2 linked regions of the Rattus norvegicus genome follow. The protein of the gene in region 1 purifies or fractionates together with the protein of each later gene. This does not show direct contact. Links are inferred from orthologs where the notes say so. Each region holds a gene or a part of one and is shown in the gene's direction. Other genes may lie near its edges. The genes, in order: Prdm16 and Ctbp1.

Region 1 (10,163 bases):
CACACTTCTCTCTTCAGGCAGGAAGGAGTCCTTGGTGGCTTCCTATGCCTTCTGGAGAGCACATCTTTTCCTCAAGATGTGAAAGCCAACTCCCTTCTGAACTCAAACAGGGAAGAGGGTGAGGGATTTCAGGCCCAATCTCCCTGTGTCTACGAGACCAAGTGTGCAGGCGAGTGGCGAATCAACTCCTAATTGTCACCACTGCAGGGGCTCAGGACGGTGAAATTCTGCTGGAATCCCTTAGGCGGCTTCAGCACCCGTGCAAGGATGCCTACACAGGCCTCTAGGACAAGACCAGTGGAAAAGGAACAGAAGTCACCCTGTGATACAAAGAAGTCCGTTTCTGAACATGTGGGGTTTGAGATCGGCTACAAGGTTGCATTCCTCGAAGTCTTGGTGGAGAGCACCCCACACCTCCCAGAAACCCACTTTGGAACCAGAAACTGGTATTGACCCTGGGAGGTCCCAAATCTTCAGAGAACCCCTTGGACGGGAAATTCCGATCACTGTCCTGTTCTGAAGGTCATCCAGGTCACATCAAGGTTCCCTGGAGCTAGGAGGGCACACCGGCAAAGGGGAATCTCAAAATGGCTCCAGGGTAGAGCACATAAAATGAAGATGGGTGCTACCTGCCCCCCTTGGAGCCACTCCCTAGACCTGCATGGGGACAGTTCTTTGGGTGTTTTGTACCCTATCCCAAGCACCCTAATGTTAGAACCTATCTATAGGCGATCTCCTTGCCTCAGGCAGGAAGGTGACTCCTAGCCCCTGTCTCTGTTCTAACCAACACCTCCACCAAAGACATGGAAGACAAAAACACTCCCAGTGGTGAGGGGATCCTCATCCATCTTGGCTTGGTGGCTCATGTGCCACAGTAGGGTGAGGACCCGTAGTCTGACAAAGATCCCTCCCAGGACACTTCCAGCTTGCCTGGGAATAACACGTGGCAAGGGAAGGAGAGGTGCTTATATTTTCTTTTCTATCAGAGGGGACCTGCAGTGCCACAGCGGGAGGTAGCGACTGAGCGTGTGGGGGCGGAAGAACCGAGAGGAAAATGGACAAGAGACTCTGGTAGTCTAGCCAGGCTGCACAAGGGGCTGTAGTGAATCTCCACTCACGTGCACACCAAGGGTAAAGGTGCCAGTTCTGACCCCTGCACTTCTCCAAAGGCTGGCTTCCCCTAGGAGGCCTGGGACGGGGTGTGGCGACAGAAAGGGACTTTGTGGACCTTAGTAGTAGGAAGGAGCCGGAGGAGTCAGAGCTCCCTAAGTGACCGAGGACCACTCCCTTAGTCTGGTCCTTCTCCGGTCCCCAAGAGTGATCTGATGAGGTTCACAGCCTCTTTCTCAGTTGGTTAGAAGGGGTGGGCATCTCTGGTTTGGAGCAGAAGGGAAGTTGGTGGAAGTCTCTCTACTGGCACCACTCCCCTACCAGCAATGAAGTTAGGCAGTAGGAGCAGTTGTTCGTGCAGGGAGTTACTCCAAACAGGGAGTGAAGTGGCAGCACTTCTCACCACGGAGCGTATGGTCCCCAAGCTCCCCAGAGCTTGACTCGGTTTGAAAACTGTTCTTGAAGCATTTAGTAATAGCCATTCCCCCCCCACAGGACTTCCACTTGCCCACACTTGTTCCTCTAAGTGTCGACTCCCATCCCTGCCAAAAAATTTTCTTGGTGGGATGGAAATACAAGAAGGCCTCCTAGGGGACCTCTGTCTGATTTTCTGTGCTTTCTCGCTCTCCTTGAGGAATTCCTCCACGTCGGACCGCTTAGCTTCTAAGTCTGGCCACGTGGGGGCAGGGCCTGGCCAAGGCCAAGGCTCTCCCAGACCGGAAGGTCCAGCACCTAAGAACCATCGCAACACCTGAGGGGTTCCTGGTCAGCCTCAGTTCCAAGGCTTCTTCCCCAGGCAGGTCATCCCCCAAACTCAGAGGCTGGCAGCCAAGAGCAGGAAAGACTCGCTACAGCTAGTTCCCAACACCTCGGGCCAGCAAGGGTCAGCTGCCTGCTCCCATCCTAGACTGATCTGGTGCAATCTGGCCAGAATTCTGTGTGCCCCTGAGTGGAGATGGGACCAGAAGGGGGACTTGAGTGAATTGGACACCCTAGAAGTAGGACCATTATGTGTGTGTGTGTGTGTGTGTGTGTGTGTGTGTGTGTGTGTGTGTTGGTTGGGGGGGGGACCCCCGGCAGCCTTCAAGTCTAGAGAAAAAGAAGCCAGGGCTGGGCTAGGGTGGGGAAGATCAGGGCCCCACATCAGCAGAGCTTTTGATTAGCATCTTTGTGTTTTTCCTGGTGTTCTCCAAATCTCAAGGGACACCTAGGGTGCCACACCTCTAGGTGACCTTGAGCCTTCTTTGCTGTGCTGCTTAACCCAGGGTATGCTCACCACGGACTAGAGGCCATCGGGGCCAAGATTGAGCAGTATCTCCTGTGTTGCTGGACTCCGTCACCACCCCGTGGGGGTGAGCAGATTCGGGGGCCCTCCAAGATCCACCAAGAGCTGCAGTGGTCCCTCCGGTCTGCAATGGAAGTCCCTCACCACGACTCCCAGAACCTACTGCTATAAACTGAGTAGATCTGTGACTTAGCCCAGGTAGAGACTGAGAAAGGGGGAAGAGCCAGGCCTTCCCACAACAGGGCCTCCATCTGTGCAGCCAGCTGGGTGCAGGGCTAGGCACCCGAAGCGGTGGGCTCCTCAGATAGGTCCGAATCTCCGCAGGGAAGTGCCTCCTTAGGCAGTCAGCGGGCAGTCGCTGCCGCCAGCTCTGGAGCTCTTCTCTGGGGTAGCTTGGGCCCAACAGCACTCTCCATTGGGTGAGGGAATCTATAGGGAGGACTCTGGGGGATTGCTGTTTTAACGGGATTTTGGTGTGCAGATTTTAGTACTAGGAGACCAGTCACAACAAAGAAGGGGTGAGGACGGCGAGAAGCCTCACCTGGGGAGCAGAAAGACCCAAATGGCGCCCACCCCTGCGAGGGCTCAGGTGACATCGTGACAGCACTGAATCTTGTTGCCTTGGAGGGACCTTGGTGTTCGGGGAGGGCGCCCAGGGCAGTGACCCAGTCCCGCAGCGCCTCCGTTTGTTTCCAATTCAAACTCAAACCGTAGCCGTACCCGAAGGGGGAATCTACACTCACCCTGTATGGCCTCTTAGTTGGGGCCACCCTGCTCTTGCCCAGCCAGGCCCCTCACTGGCCTGAGCTTGGAGTGTGAAGGCTTCAAGGATAGAGCGCGGCCAGTTTCCTGCCCGCACTCCTCCACCTGTGCTTCGGGTTCCCCAACCCTAGCGGCACCTGGGCCGGTAGAAGCCGGAGGGGAGTGTCCAGAAAAGACCCCAGCTCCCGAAAGGGGCTAGCTCCAGCGCTTCCGCACCCGGTACTCACCTGGGGGCCGCGGCCGCAGCCCAAGAGGGCGCGGAGACCGGAGCGCACGGGCCCACCCCGGAGATGCAGAGGTGCGGGACACCCCGGGACGCCAAGGGCAAGATGCCGGCCTTGACGCCGCCGCCCCCCGACGCGGAGCGCGCTGGCCTCAGCCGCCGCGCCCGACCGAGGACCGACGGCTCCAGCGCCGCTCGGCGTCCCGGGCGGTGGCAGAGCTCGGAGCTGGCGGCGCCTCGGCTGTTTGTTTTTGAGCCTCGGAACCCGAAGCTGCAGCCACCCGGTGGGGGCGGGGGGAGGGGCTGGGGGCGGGAGGCCCGCGGGGGGCGGCGGGCGGCGGGGGCTTCGGAGGAGCCGGGATCGGGCGCGTTGGCCCCGACACCCCCTCCGCGAGTGCGGGGTGCGGGCAGGGACCGAGGGCAGTTCGGGAGGAGAGAGCTCTGGGGCGACGACGAACGAAAGCTTTTTAATTAGTAATAAAACGCAATAAAACGCTGCAAAAGCAGCCCGGACCCGCGTCCGAACTATCAGCGCCTTTGCGGGAGATCGAAGGAAGTCGCGCAGAAACCCGCCGCGGGCCAGTCTCCTCTGAGGCTGGGCTTGGGTAGGAGCCACAGCGCTGCGCAGCGCAGGGCCAGGGCGGGGGGACCGTCACCTCGCCTCCAGGGCTACCTGGGTCCTTTTAAAGTGTCCGGGGTGCGGGCCCCGGGCGGGAGCGACGAGCAAGGAATGTTTTCTTAAAGGGCCAGTTCAGAGCTGCGCTGAAAAGGGGGGGGAGGGGGGAGAGAGAGAAGTGAGGTGAAGACCGAGAAGGCCTCGGAGAGCCCCCCAATCCCGCGCCGAGGCGGCGGCGGCGGCGGCGCGACGAAGAGGATGATGAACACATTGCAAAGTTTTTTTGGCCCCGGCGAGGGGTGTCAGATTGAGTGCTCTGTGCGCATGTGCGAAGGTGTCCAAACTGACAATGCTAGGGAGATGAAGATAGTGTGTAGCTGCTTCTGGGCTCAAGGAGGAGGAGAGAGATTCCGCGAGCCGACACCATGCGATCCAAGGCGAGGGCGAGGAAGCTAGCCAAAAGTAAGTCTCCCGCGCTCGACCGCGCCGCGTCGCCGGGCCCGGGCCGCGGGGCCAGGGTACCCGGGCCAGGGGTGCGCGTCGGGGCGCGGTCGGCGCGCCCGCGGCTCCGGCCCCCGGTCGACCGCGCGGCCCGGGGGTGCTCCGCCTCCCGCGCTCCGGGGCGGCCGGGCTCGGCGCGGAGGCTCGGGGCGCCCGGGCCGCGCGCTCCCCGAAGGCGCCGGCCCCCTCCCCGCCGAACCCCCTCCCCCCCACAGTGTCAGGCGCTCGGGCCCGGGAACCCGAGGCGCGCGGTGGGGGCCGGGGAGGGGGGCGGAGGGGGAGGGCCGGGGGTGGAGGAGCGAGAAAAGCGAAAGTTAGCGAAAAGTTGACGAAAGGGGAGAGTAACTTTTCCTCTCGCTCGCTCTCTCCCTCTCTCTCCGAGTGGCTCTCAGTCCTGGTCAAATCATATTCCGGGCTTTTGAAATAGTGGGCGCTAGAGCACCGCCTTTGGCGTCCGCCAGCCGGGCTCAGAGGAGGGAGACCCTGAGCCGGGGAGGGGGCGGAGGAGGGGGCGCGGGCCGGCGCCCACCGGGCTCCCCGGGAGCAAGGGCAGGACGGCCGCAGCCGCCGGGGAAGCAACATGGAGACTTTTTCCTGCGCTCGAAACTGTGCTGGTGAAGTTTATTCCCAAGTGGTGCCCCGCGTGGTGGCCGGCGCTCCTCTGTGATCCTCGCGTTTCTCTCGGGTCGCCCAGTGCCGGCGCCTCCGGCAGCGGGGTCCCCACTGGCCGCCGTGCTACCCGCCGCCCTGCTTCGCCTGGCCTCACTCCGACCCTCCCGCACATGCTGTCCTCGGCACCCGCCAGCCCCAGAGGGACCAATGCCCCAGCTAGGCTGCACGGGCCCGGGGCTTACTTTCTCTTTCGCTCCGCCTCGGGCCGCGCCTGGGGCTGTGCGCGCAGCCGGCAGCGGGCTGGTCCCCACCGCAGCCTACGGGCTCCCGCCGTCCGCACTATGGCCACCTCGTCTCGGAGCTGCCCACGCGCCCTCCGCCCTGGTGCCGGCGCCATCGGCACAAGTCGGGCCCGGGGCTTCATCCTTTGCAGCCAGCAGGTGGGGACCCGCTGCAGCGCGGCCGTTGAAGCACGGCTCCGAAAACCCGGGCCACGGTCCGGCTCCAGCGAAGCGTTGAGCGCTGTGCGGAGAGGATCCCAGTCGCTCGTCCCGGCCGCCCCCTTTTTTACCATGGGACAGAGAAAGGGGCACCCGGCACGCGGGCTCCAGGTCCCTGCCTGATCACCAGGCCGTTCGGTCTGCGCTTCTCGGGCAGGATCCTGCCTGGCCGGACCTCGCGGCTTCCAGAGCCGAACTCTTAGAGCATGAGCCTAGCGAGCGGGTGTGGGATCCGCAATAGTTTTCCGAAAAAGTCAGGCACTTTGAGCTCCGGACCCTGCTGAACTTGGCCCCAAGGCGGACCGACTGCCTTAGGCCACGCGCCCACTCTGCAGGGAAAAGCAACTTCCAACCTCTGCCAAGCTTCCCTGAGCTACGCCTTGGAGTTCGTGGCCCCTCGGTTAAGAGCCCCTTTCCCACCGAGCTGCCTGGCCAGCTGCCCTTGACCTCGGCCTTCTGGGCCACCCATGACCTCTGACCCCTCTTGGTGCGAACAGGGGCAGTAGGTTCCCAGCGGATGCGAAGGGGCTGTGTACGTGTTGGGTGACTCTCCACGACGCACGGAGCGGGTGTACCGGGTGCTGTTAAGAGTACGGTGTGCACCGTGGCCTCTGGAAGTCTCGACCCCTGGCTGCAGGCTGGATGGTCAGGCTCTGGCCGCAGAGGAAGGACCCAAAGCTGGGAGGAGAGAGGAAGGAGTAGAGCGACTGTGCTTTTTGTCGCCGCCTTCGCTGCAAGCGAGAGACTGGCTCAGCGCACCCAGCGCGGCCCCGGAAACTTTCCAGAGGCCCACACCCGCTCGGCGCCCTGCTGGGCCTCCTGCTCTACCTCCACCAGGTGGGGAAGGTCACCTGGCCCAGGCCGCCCTACGTAGGACCGGAATGGGCGCCGGGCGACATCTTGAGGCCTTCCTTGGAGGCCAAGAAACGAAGGACACAACCGGTGTGAGTGCACAGTTCACGGTTTCCTTCCAGGACATTTTGGAAACAGCCCACAGAAGCTTGCCCGACAGACCCAGGGTCTCCGTTTGAATGTCACTCTGGAGACCCGGTTCCAGGCTATGTGACTATTACTGCTACCACCAAAGCCCCTTCAAGAAAATGGGTGAAGTAGCTCGGGATGGAAGACAACCCAGGGCTCACTGAAGAATTTCTTATTCCATAAGACAATATTTTAAGCGGCCTTGGAAGGCTCCTGGGAACCTAATTCCATTACCCGAAGCAAGGGTGACCAGCAGACACTCGGCAGCCAGTCCAGAAGCCTCCTAGGCTGGCCGACAGGGTCAGGGAATAGGAGAAAGGAGCAAGGTCATGGTGGTTCAGGGTTTTGTTCTGCCCTTGTACTCAGGCCCCTGAGCTGTGATGGAGACTGTCCTGAGGACAGAAGGACGGATGGGCCAATGGATGTAACATCAGGACACAGGGCTTGGGTGTGGGGCTGTCCCAGAGTGTGCATCTTGAGGTATAATTTCGTTTGTATTTCCTGGCGATCCCACTCCAGATCTCTGTCTCCATGGCTTACTCAAGCTGGGCCTTTTAGGTGATTCATTTGGTAGAATTTAAGGGCCCAGAGTAGATGCTTCTTTTGAGCCTTCTAAGGCTTAAAGTCTCCGAGGCACCCCCAGTGAGGACTAAGATCCAGTTGGTGGGAGGCCTACATAGGGGGGCAGAGCGAAAACAGTTCAGATAAGGGGTCCCCTTACTCAACCTGGGCCAGTGCTGGCCAGTAAGGACTTTAGGCTGCCTTGGCCCCACATTTAAAAACGAAATTCTTAACAATAGTGTAATTGTTCCACCGCTGGTGTGAGCCAGGTGGGCAGTTGGGGGCTCAGTTGGTGATGCTGCCCTCCTGACCTTTAGAACCTACACAGCACAGCTTGGTCTCTCTCTATAGCTAGGATCCCTACTAGAGCCACCCTAGAGACCCGATTTCTATGGAGGTGACAGACCCCGTTGGTCCTAAATACCACACATCCCACTCTGCTGGGTGTGGGACTTGGAGTGTTGCATATGTTGAGGGTTATGAATTGTTAGGGCGGTGTGAAAGATCGAAGGCCCAGCTTCAGGCCTGAGTCCTTCCCGTTGAGACATGCAGGGGTGTGGGTGGCAGGTGGCTAGGCTGGCTGGCTCTTGTCCTCTTTCTACCCTCCCCAGGGTAGTGAGAGCCCAGGGGACAATCTTTTTCTCTGCAACTGACCGATGAGAGCTTCAACAGCAGCAAGAACCTGAGAGCGGGGTAATTGATTGTCTTGCCCGCTTTAGGCGAATGGTGGAGCCCGCTTGTTGCAGGGGTGGAGGGCAGGGCTGTCGGACCAGTGTTAGAGGGATCAGTGGCCTGGTATGTGTGTGCAGGTCTTGCCAAAGTTAGTTTGTAGAGCAGGTGTTGGATAGGTCTGCTGGGGGTGGGGTGGAGGGCTCTGCCCCAGGGTCTCTAACCATCCACTGACTTGGGGTGCCTGCTTCTCCAGCAGTCTGGAGGCCTGGGAACTACAGGTTCAGGTTAGACCTCCTATCCCCTGCTAGTGCTGCAGTTTCTACACCCCCAAACCCCTACCTGGGCAGTGCTAGGGGCAGAGAACCAAAAGGCTAGGTAAGGGTGGTGTGAGCTCCCTCCCCAGAGGGAGGCACTGCCTCAGCTGCCACTGCTTACAGGGCTTCTGTGGGGTGTGATTAGCCCTCTGTTTTATTCAATTAGGAGGCAATTAGGGTCCTTGAGGGGAGGGGGGGCTGGGACTGGTAATTAAGGTTATGTATAATTAGAGTTTCAACAAAATTATCCAGGATTTAAAAAAAAAATCTTTTCAGTAATTTCGTTTAAAAATTTCAAATAGCATTAAATACAACTTATCAGGTTTTGAATCAAAACCGGGTTTCGAGCCTTGGGGTCCGAAGCTCACTCAGTAGAAGGCTGTGTAGCACCTTCTCAGTTCAGGAAAGAACTTCGTGAGGTGGAGGAAATCTCTTTCTCTCTCCCTCTCTCCTTTTCTCTCCTTCCCCCTGTCTGTCTCTATTTCTCCCTGTCTCTCTCTGTCTCTCTGTCTGTCTCTGTCTCGTCTGTCTGTCTCTCTCTGTTTTTCTCTCTCTCTCCTCAAATTCATAGAAAATGATGGGCCAGCGGTAGTTAGCAGGTTTCAAACTGCACCAACTTGAGACTATGACCCAGACGCTACTATGTGGGTGCCTTTCTACTTGGGGGACACTTTCTGGCTTCATGGTTGTTCCTGCCTGAATTTTCAGACCCCCTCCACCTGGCTCAGAAATACCCAGTGTGAGCAACTGTCTGTTTACTCTTCCCTTGCCCAACCTGGGCTCTCCAGAGTGCACACACAGGTGTCCCTGCCCATCCAGGGTAGGGACAGTGACGTGCATTGTGAGTTGCCCTGTCCCTTTTCTGTTCAGCAGCAGCCTGGGAAGAGACCCTCAAAGTACCTGTGGGTATCCTCCACCCTCCCTCCAGGGTAGGTGTGAGCTGGCCCCTGGCAGGCAGGTATCCCCTCCACTGGGAAAGAGGGGGGAAAGAGTGTGGAACCTTGGAACCCCTCCTCCAGAGGTTAGAAGGTTAGAGAGCCTGGACAGGTGCAGTAACTCATACAGTTGCAACCCAGTTCAAGACCTTCAGGGGTTCTTAGTGTGGCACTGCAGACCACAGTTAATTCCGTAGTGTTTTTAGTTAATTAGTTAATCAATTAATTAATTTAACGTGTCAGGGCTAAAGTATTTCAAGGCCAGTGCTTACCACGGTCCTATTTGTCTATTCGTAAAGGGCAGGTAGATTCCATGCATTATAGCCTGTGAATTCAGATGTCTGCCTTATCCCCTACTTGTATGCAGATTGGAATTCTATTTGCTCAGGGCTGGACTCTTCCCCTCCAGGAAATGATCACACAGTTTCTTCTCCTCTGACTGTGGGTACCCTCTCCAAGGGCAGATTCTAAGTAGCTGGTATTGACCAGGGATGGGCCTTGTCCACCCCACCCCCCCAGTCTCCATCTTCTGCCAAGCACAAGTACAAAAACCTCACAAAGGGGAGTGGGGGCTGCCTACTTACCCTACTCCCAAACTATCAGGGAAAAATCCACCTGCCCTCCTCAGGTAGTTAGGGCGATGCAGCACCCTATACTGCTCCTGCATCCCCAGTAGACCCGACCTGCAGGACTAGAGCAGGGTTTCTGATATTCTGATATTGGCCGTTGTTCCTCAAGGCTGGGTGGGACCTCGTGGCCAGAACCACTGTGACCATTCTGTGCCCAGAGTGCCCTCTACTCTAGTAGACCTGAAGCCAGGGGATGGGTGGTCTCTCCCTGTTCCGACCACTCCCTGTCCTCAGACTCTGTGCTCTTTGGAGGTGCCTCTCGGGAGAGAGAGGAACGATGAGCGCCAGCAGCGAGCTGAAGACAGGAGTGCTGACCACTTGAGATACATATTTGTTTAATAGTTAACATTTTGTGTAAGAAAAAAAAGAGAGGAGAGAGAGGGGGGAGGGAAGGCAGATCCTGGTGAAGTGAAGGCTTTGCTTATTTTGTATCCACTATAACTATTTCTGTCCGTGAAAATT
Region 2 (9,396 bases), on another chromosome or scaffold:
CATTCCTGTGTTGACAAGACAGCCTATGGCTGTAGGGAGTCAGGGTGGAGGTGCCTCCTACCTCCCCTGACCTCCTGTCTACCACAGCCTCCCTAGGGTCTACAAGGATTTTAGGTCCTATGCCCTTGAGGGATTGATGGACTGAGTCTACTCAGTCATCAGTAAGCTATAGAAAACTATTTTCTCCTTCTCAGTTTTAATTTGCTTTTTACAAAGCCCCCATGTAACCCCATGTAACTCAGGTGCTGAGTACAGCAAGTCCTCAGGGCTGATCTTTCCAACTCGAGTGGGTAGTACTGCCCTCAGGTCACAGACTGGAGCTGCCAAGGGCATTAAGTAGTCTGCTCCTCTCTTGCAGGCGTCCGACCTCCCATCATGAACGGGCCCATGCACCCCCGGCCCCTGGTGGCGCTGCTGGATGGCCGGGACTGCACAGTGGAGATGCCTATCCTGAAGGATGTGGCCACAGTAGCCTTCTGTGATGCGCAGTCCACACAGGAGATCCATGAGAAGGTAGTGTCATATGCACCTAGTAATAGTTGGCTAATCTTTATGGGGGTGTAGGGGACTCCAGAGCCTGAGCCAGGCAACCTCAGGCTGCAGTCTGAGTCAGCACACAGCCTGTTCCTTGGCCTCTGGCCACAGTGGGTCTGAATACCACCTGGTCTTGTGTGGCCTGTCCCTGTGCCTGGCCTGGTCAGGAGGTGTAGAGATGGCTTACTCTGTAGCTTCTTGACATATATCATAGCCAGTTCATTGGAAGCGGAACTGTGGGCACCTGGCAGTGATTGTGCTTGATGCTACCTGGCATACAGAAAAAAGGACCGATATCCTCACCCAGTGCCTGCCTAGAGCTTGTGGTCGGGTGGTTAGCAGCTCTGAGCAGCTTCTGTGATTCATGTTTGCTCAGATATGCTGTGTTTCTTTGTTACCTGGAATGTATTCATTTAGTTTCTGCTTGTATCAAAGTTAATTCATACTTTGTATTGAAGACAGCTTGAAAATGTTCTTAAAACAGTCTAAAGAGCTTCAGGAGCTGACAGGGATTGAAACCACAAGGGACCTGGCACCTGCTGATATGGATGGTCTGCATGGTTAGCCTGAGACTTGCTTCACTGGGAAGACCGGTGAGCTCTGTTCTTGCCAGCACTATGGCCTCAAAGGCTGGGTGCAGATGTTGCCTCAAACCCAGAGGGCAGTGAAACCCATATCTGAACTTATTTTCACATAGCCTACTACTCAGCCTTCTAAGTCTGCCAGGTATGGGATTTAGCATGTAGTGAACCTACAGCCTTGCTTCCCAGTGGCTGCAGAGTATCTGGGACAGTCATTTCAGTCTGAGCCCAGTGCATGTCTGTAGTCCTTGGGTACTTGTCACTTCTGTATAGACAATCAGTTATAAGAAGGTAAGACTCTGTGAGTAGAATAGAGCTTCTGATCTACGGGAGACCCAGTCTGACTACGGGATGGACTGCCTTCCGCCAAGAGAAAAACTGAGATTGTCATGTTGAAGGTCATGAGGTAGATGTGAAGGAACAAAGTTGAAAACACAGGGCTTCAAGACACTAAAGCTAAAAGTAAAAATTATCACTTAGGGCATAGAAGCAAGCAAGCAAGCAGAGGTCAGAAGTCTTGATTCTTAGGCCTTGGGGGAAGAGTGGCAAATAGGAGGGGAGTAGGAGCAAGGAGCAGGTAAGTTAATGAGACACAGGGCTCAGGGGGAGCTGCTGTACAGACTGAGAATACAGTGGTAGATGGATTCCCCACACAACAGGAAACTGTGAATTAAGGACCTTGAGCCTGTAGCATGGCGTGGGCAGTAGTCAGTGTACTCTATACTGTTACACACCCTTATAGCATGCCAGCAACCATACTGGGGGCCACTGTCCTAGCAGACATGACCTGCATTCAAGTCATACCTTACCTGATTCACAGTAGCCAAACTGGACACCACTCAGTGTCCTGTGGTGACATGCTGGGCAGTGTATCCTGCCACAGATTCTGGCCCAGGCAAGGTATGACCACAGGCACATAGCACCTGGCGTACATGTCACTGAGGGAAATCACCTTTCCTCTTTCTGCTGGCTGGAAATTGGGTGTGATGGCTGAAGCTTGGGCAGAAACCTTGTACTCTAAGAGGTAAGGGATATACAGAGAATGGCACAGCCACAAGACAGGAGAATGGTACCCAAATAACTGAAAATGCAATAGGGCATGTGGAATCACACCTGTCTCTAGGTGTGGAAAGGAGAGAATTGTCTTATATATCTTTGCTGTATGATAATTTCCACCTTTTTAGAGCAAAAAGTCCTCACAACTGGCTGGGTGTGGCTGTCTGCAATGCACATGAGCACCTTAAGTGTCAGTGAAGCACATGACGAAGAAAACTTTACAGAGACCTTGGCTCTTCTGACGTGGATCCAGGAGGAGTATTAAAGGGACTGTGGATGTGAGAAAGTCACCTTGTGGCAGAAATCTCAGAGCATCCCTGGGCTGTACAACTTGTCAGCCAAATGATCTTTAGCCCAGGGCTGTATGGAGCCCAGGAGGAACCCAGGGACACGGCTCTCAGCATGTGCTAAGTGAGGACTTAGGGGAGTAGATGTCTCCGAAGGGATCCTGTGGAGATGGGAGAATGACGCTCTATGACCCATGGGTAGAGAACACCCCAGGCTAGAGGAAGTCTCTTACACCTAAGATGCTCAAAAAAAAAAAAGTGGGCAGAAGTGTTTAATATGACCAGCAGGCTGCAATATGACCTTGGGCTCAAGCTGTAGACACATCTGGAATCAGGACAGACGTTGAGAGGAGAGGGTTTCACTGTGTGCAGGAGTCCATTGCCACAGGTCACCAGGGCCCGAGACTCTGAGACCCATTGCTTATGCTTTGATGGAACAAAGCAGGGAACCAAGGGACGTGTGTGGCCCTCAGGTATTTGGGCAAAGTGCTGTTGAACTAAGATCCAGGCCTGGGATGGTTTCTGGTTGGATGGCAGCAGTTGGAAGAGCAGGAGACTTAATGCAACTTCAGAAGGAATCTGTAGGTATTCCAAATACTCAGAGGGAAAGTCAGCAGCAGTAAGATTCAGCGAGGTCAAGCGAGCCCTTTGTGCCCTGGCCCAAGGGCACCACATGTGAGGTCTTCATGCTCTCCCAGTCGGAAAAGGAGTCCTTGCAGAGAGCTGGCCAGAGAAGTACTGCTTATGTTAACCACTGAGCAAGTCCCTTTCTGGCCCCATGAAAACTCAAAATTCACACGGTAGGAGACCTGGATGCCACTTCCTTCTGTGGAGCAGGACAGCTGCAAGGACCCCAGGTGTCTGTGAAGTTGGATAGTCTGCAGCTTGACTGTGTCAGCAGGAAAATATCTGGCGTGATGGTGAGGTGGGAAGAGCTGCAGTTTCATATGATAGCTGTTGCTGTTCATACCAGGTGATAAAACCATGCCGGTTGGTTTGGAGTTTCAGTGTTCTCTCAGCAGGAGGTTGCCCTGACCATGAAACCTCGTGGTTTGGGGCATATGCTTCGTTCAGAACTTGTTGCCACTGGGTGCACTCAGGACCCATTTCCAGCCAAAGATAGCTGACCTACATTAGTCATTCATCGTATGTTCTGCCTGCTTTGAACATCTGGGACCCAGATTCTTCCATTCTGGTGTTGAGGACCAAGTCCACTAGGGTCCGATCTCTAACCTGGTTACACAGCTGATGGATGAGGAGATTGAGCTGCTTGCAAAGGATAGTTTCTTGGAGGCCTATCCTAAGTGGACAGACCCAGAAGCACCCATAGAAGAGGTACAGGCTGGGTGTTGGTGGTGACCTGGGCTGTAGACCTCTGCCCACTGTCTAGCAAGCTCACCCCTAGTATGCTTTTGTCCTGCATCTGGGCACAGGTGACTTCATACTAAGTACAAAAAAAAGACACCATGAAAAAAAAATTCAGAGAGAAACATAGGCAGATTTCACCCAGGAAGGCAAATTCATGCACCAGTAGTAGATGAACAAACAGTAGGGTGTATTTTAGTTGCAGAAAACCCAGGGTTGATATCAGCATGTCAGTTGGCAGTTGGACAACAGTGCCTAGAGCCTCAAAGGACCTTCCATTTCTAAGAAATTAATACAAGGAAATGAATTCACTAGCTTTTATCAAGGAAGAGTATCACTGGTAGCACTCAGTGCAGTAGGAAGTTCAGATTCTTTGATTCCCCCTTCCCTGTTGGTACGTTCTGCAGTGCGTTGAAATATACTTTTGAAAGCCGGTAGTCTCATGGTTAAGTGCTGAGGGTAAAAAGCAGGCATGGTGACACATACACAACATAGGTATCTAGCGTATGTATCTGTCCTGTCCACAGTCAACCCTTTGCACACATAGTGAGGGACCCATGAGTATTTGGTTGTCAGGTGTTAAATCTGTCAGCACCTGGTACATGTCAGGTGTTAAATCTGTCCAAAACTACAGACCCATCCTAATGCTACCCTGAGATCTTTCCATTTGGTCTGCACTGCTCTAACTGCCATGGGCCTCAACAGATAACCATTATGTGGAACTGATCTCTACTTTCCCCAGCCTCACCTGTTCTACGGAGCTGTCCCAGGTCCTTCCTGTGCTCGTGACTGACCATCTGAAGTCCATACAGCACAAAGTAGTCAATGACGTCCCTAAATCTTCCCTTATTCCTATGCTTTGGGCTGCCTCAGCTGTCTGTTCCCCTTTCACTCTTCCCCACATGGGTTCTCCATGACATCCCACTGTCAAATGGGTGACCGCTTTTCTATACAGGTCTAAGTATAATTGGGGCATATGTGGCCCCAATTCCCTCCTTGAAGACAGGGGCAACCATGAGTCTTTGCCCCCAAACTTATGCCACTCACCCTAGCATCCCAGAGACCCCTGTTTTAGCTTCTTATGATCTTCCCTCAGCTCCTAGTTGCGTCTTCCATGCATAGTAGTCTAAATGTTCCCTGGACCCAAAATGAGTGGGGAGGCTGTCCCTGTATTTGCCCTTAGGGTTCTTCATGACAGGCGAAGGCTGTTCTGCCTCAGTGACAGCTGTCTGCATTCTAGGCCATGCACCTGGCTATTGAGGTTGTGTAGTAGAAAAGAGAGGCTGCATCAGCCTTTCCCCGGGGAGCAGCCCACTGCCCCAGAAGGATGCCTTATGGCACTATTTTTTTTTTTTAGCTGTCTTATTATGTTCTTATGTCTTTACCTCTCTTCCGACTCTTATTCCACCCTAATCCCTTCCAACCCCCAACACAAGTGAGGAGAGAAAGAAGATCAAAGAGGTAAGGGGGTGTAGACCTCTTTAGACTACTTCCTGCTGATTAGGGATGTTGTGTTTCTTGGTGCCAGTCCAATCAGCAGTTGCTGTCTTTGGAGTACCTCTGGCCTCTCTCGGGGCTCTGGCATTTATTCCTTCTCCAGAGTCCCCAGAATTAAGCTATCTGCAGCTGACAAAGGTCATACCTCTCCTAGAGCATAATTAATAGCTGTGGACAAACTGAAGCAGCTCCATATCCCACACGTTACCTCAGCCCCACAGCTAACTAGACCAGCCGGCAGGACCTGTGTGGAGGAGGACAGGTGCCAGAGTTGGCTTATTACAGAATGTAGCGCCCTCTAGAGGCTGGCCCTGCCACTCCCAATAACGTGCTTCTGAGTGTGCTCGTTAACATGGGTGCTCTTCACACTTCTTCACGGAGACTGGTGAGGACTGGGCCTCATTGTTTTGGGCATGGAGTCTGGTTGTTGGCAGGTGGTGCTAGTAGTCTTTGCCTTTGCACACCATCCACAGCCTCTCTGCTGAGTCTCTTAATGGTGACATGCTGCTCTTCTGAGAGAGCTGTTCTTGAGAGAGCACAGCTGTCCCTGCATGGTGTTCCCAGTATCTTCCCTTGTGTCCCCTCTGCCTCCCATGCCCCACTGTTTTGGCTGGCCACTCAGCCTTTGGGTACCTTTGGTGGGTCCTGGACAGCTTAGTAAGCAACCTGTTTTCCTTCCATGCAGGTACTGAATGAGGCAGTGGGCGCCCTGATGTACCATACCATCACACTGACCAGAGAAGATCTGGAGAAGTTTAAAGCTCTCAGAATCATCGTCCGAATTGGCAGCGGGTTTGACAACATAGACATCAAGTCAGCTGGTGATCTAGGTAGGAGCTCTGAAGCCCCTGTCTCCATTTACCAGGGTGTCTCATTTAACCTTCAGGCTCTGTTGGGCAATCCCAGCCTGCTGGGACTGCTCCTTGGGTTGAAGATGATTTGGGGCTATGGGAAGGACAGGTTGTGGGGGTCTGCACAGGACATGGGTGTAACTTTATTCACTGTGTTGTCACCAACTGGCCAGGCCTAGGGTTTAGGCTGAAACAAGGGACCAGTCAGAGAGGTCATTGTCCTCTTCCCAGAACAGGGACTATGTGCCATAGTCATACTTGTACACACATGAAGCCATGTGTGCTCAAATTGTACACATATGCATGACTCTGCATCTGTGTATGCAGTTTTACTGAAGCAGTATGGCCATACTTAGCCATTTTAGCCTGTTTCTGTGCTAGTGGCCAACTGACAAAGCAAGGCTGCAGTCTCCAGTGTCTGCTGTTGACATCATTCTGCCTTCTGTTCCTTAAGGCTGTCTGGGGAACCACGGGCAGCTGAGAACTTGAGTAGTGTGGTGGGAAAGTCCGTCTTGTTCTGTTGGTTCATGCTGGCCTGGCATGCCACAGGGGCCAGAAGCTGGCCGGCCTTTCCTCAGCAAGGCCCCACCATTTCCCTCTATAGAGCTCACAGGCTCGACTCTTGAGCTAGGGATGGCCAAGTGCCGCCACTGTGGCCCAGATACGGGAAGGGCTGTGTCTTGTTTGCCTTATGTCTTCTCAGGGGTCAGTTTTGTTTCTGAGCCTCCAGGCTACCTACTACTGCTCCATGTTCCCTTGCTTATTTCAAGGGAGTTGTTTCTAGAGGATGTGTGGGTCCTGTCTTGGCTCCTCTTGTGTCAGGTACCTCTAATTCTTAAGATAGTTTCTACAAAAACAGTCCTGTCCCAGCACCTCAGTGAGAAGCACAGGCAGAAGTATCCAGCCAAGGTGGGAAGTAGACTTGTGGCCACTGTAGAGGATGGGCTCATGGTGGGATGGTGGGATCCTCCTCTGAGGACAAGGACCATGGGCAGCCCAAGGCAGCACAGACTGTGTCAGCTTACAGTGCCTGAGCTTGGGCTCTTGGGATAATTGGGGCACTGAGGTTAGGAAAGAGAAGCCCCATCTGACTTGTTCCCAGGACAGTGGGCATTGCTGAGCTCTGAAGTCAGGGCATTCCTGGCCTTGGAAGCTCTGGGGATCTGGAAGTTGTGATTCATGTAGTATCAACAGGTGGGGGCCGGCCAGTCCCAAGATGCACCTTGGCACTGGCCCTTTGCCAGTATGGCCATGGCTGCTTAGGAATTTTGAGTGCCCAGTGATCCACGCGGGGAAGAAATGAGTACTGATGGGATTGGTCACCTGCACATCCAGACTATTCAGGCTAGGGATGGTCAGAGAAGCACTTAGCTGTCCCTGCTCTGTCTGTTTGCTTGTTGGTTGTCACATCTTTGTTGTACAAGGCTGTGACTCCAGGTTTAAGTATGCCCAATGATAGAGACAGGTAGTCCTATCTGGTGGCTGTGGGATGTGTCTTCTGATGTGTTTCTGCTGAAGCAGTACCCTGAGGTTGCGCTCTGACTGCAGCACCTCTGATTGTGATGACAGGAGGCTGTGGGCCTGGTACATGTGTCTCCATGTGTATTCTAGGCATCGCAGTGTGCAATGTACCAGCAGCATCTGTGGAAGAAACAGCAGACTCCACCCTGTGCCACATTCTGAACCTATACCGACGAACTACCTGGCTACACCAGGCACTTCGGGAAGGCACTCGGGTCCAGAGTGTAGAGCAGATCCGAGAGGTGGCTTCAGGAGCTGCCAGGATCCGTGGAGAGACCTTGGGCATCATTGGACTAGGTGCGTTGGCCACTGTGACTCAGCACAAATAGCCTTTGTCTGTCTGTCCCCCTTGCACTTCATAAAGTTGAGGCCCCGGACTTTCTGGTTGTGTTGCTATCCTCAGCTCAGGATAGGACATAGGATAGAAAGTCCAGGGGCAGGGCTGAAGACACTAGGCTATGTCTTTCACAGGTGCCATCCATGGAGGTCATTCATGCATGGGCACGTGTGTATATTATATGTGGATGAAACAGATAGGGTATACACATGGACACGCTTAGATATGTATACAGTTACATACACACGCTGTAACTGACATGTTATTACTGAAGCACCACCTTGAGGGTGTGCTCTGGCTATAGCACCTTTGACTGTTGGTGTCATGGGGCTGTGGGCCTGGTACATGTGTACCCCACAGCTCCAAAGACTTGAGTGGTATGACCTCAGGGCCTACTTCTGTCCTACTTAGGTGGTACTCAGTTCCCACTCTCTCACTGCTGTTTGCTTTTTGTTGGTCCCCATTTGTTATGTGTCCCATAGAAATGGCACAATAAGTTGTGCCAGAGTTTCACCATTGAGGGCTCCCTTGTCACCAGACAGCCTACCCTTGGCTGACCCTAGCTGCACTGTACTCCTTCCTCAGCACTGCTGCCGCTTCGGTAGATGGGAAATGTGTGTGGGTCACCTGAGCTACTGAAGAGATAGACTTGGTATGTAGTTGTTGTCCCAGTGGACACTCACGGCAGGGCTGTTTGGTATTCCATGGCACTGAATGTACCCTTCCTGTCCAGTGTATAGGATGAGTTAGTACCGCCTACCTCAGGGTTGTAGCCCTGAGACTCATTGAGGGTGAAGAAAGATAAACATGGGTAGAGTGAGGGTCAGGGGTGTCACTAGGCAGGTTTTGGTGGTCAAGTTCTTGCCCTCCAGTCTGCTTGGTCTTACTCTGTTAGTGGCTCAGCCATGTGTCCTTTTGGTACCCTGCCTTGCAATGATACTTGATACTTTGCCCAGTGTGCCACGTGGCTGCCACTGACTACCTTCTGGCCTACACTGCTGTCTTCTCTGCTGTGTCAAGCTGACCACTGTAGTCAAAGCTCCCCAGGTTTCAGGATCCATAGATGGTGACATGTATTCCATGTGAATGATGTAGATGACACAGACATGGTGATGCATGTGGACATACTTGTGTGTGAGTGTACAGTATATACAAGGGAGGATGGTAAATTGTGCCTCCTCAGAGCACAGCAAGGGCTCAGAAGGGAGTTGCTGTACCCTCTATCTTGGGGACCCCCTAGTCATGTAATTGCTACCAACTACAGAACAATTCTGAGGCTGGCTTCCATATACTGTGGCCTCGCTCTGGAAGGGAGATGACCACTTGCCCCCAGGTATCCCTGCTGCCTCCTGCTCTTCCTTTCTACG

The links.
Region 2: the proteins of Prdm16 (region 1) and Ctbp1 purify together in Homo sapiens (affinity purification with mass spectrometry; 3 studies listed by BioGRID and IntAct, with this or other methods). This does not show direct contact. The link is inferred for Rattus norvegicus from reciprocal best matches to the Homo sapiens genes PRDM16 and CTBP1.

What each region holds. Positions count from the first base shown.
Region 1 is NC_086023.1:170,480,006-170,490,168, reverse strand, and holds the start of Prdm16 (PR/SET domain 16), read left to right. Parts: upstream 1-4,364; 5' UTR 4,365-4,421; coding exon 4,422-4,458; intron 4,459-10,163. UniProt on the Homo sapiens protein: Binds DNA and functions as a transcriptional regulator. Displays histone methyltransferase activity and monomethylates 'Lys-9' of histone H3 (H3K9me1) in vitro.
Region 2 is NC_086032.1:81,687,269-81,696,664, forward strand, and holds part of Ctbp1 (C-terminal-binding protein 1), read left to right. Parts: intron 1-358; coding exon 359-513; intron 514-6,005; coding exon 6,006-6,150; intron 6,151-7,782; coding exon 7,783-7,989; intron 7,990-9,396. UniProt on the Homo sapiens protein: Corepressor targeting diverse transcription regulators such as GLIS2 or BCL6. Has dehydrogenase activity. Involved in controlling the equilibrium between tubular and stacked structures in the Golgi complex.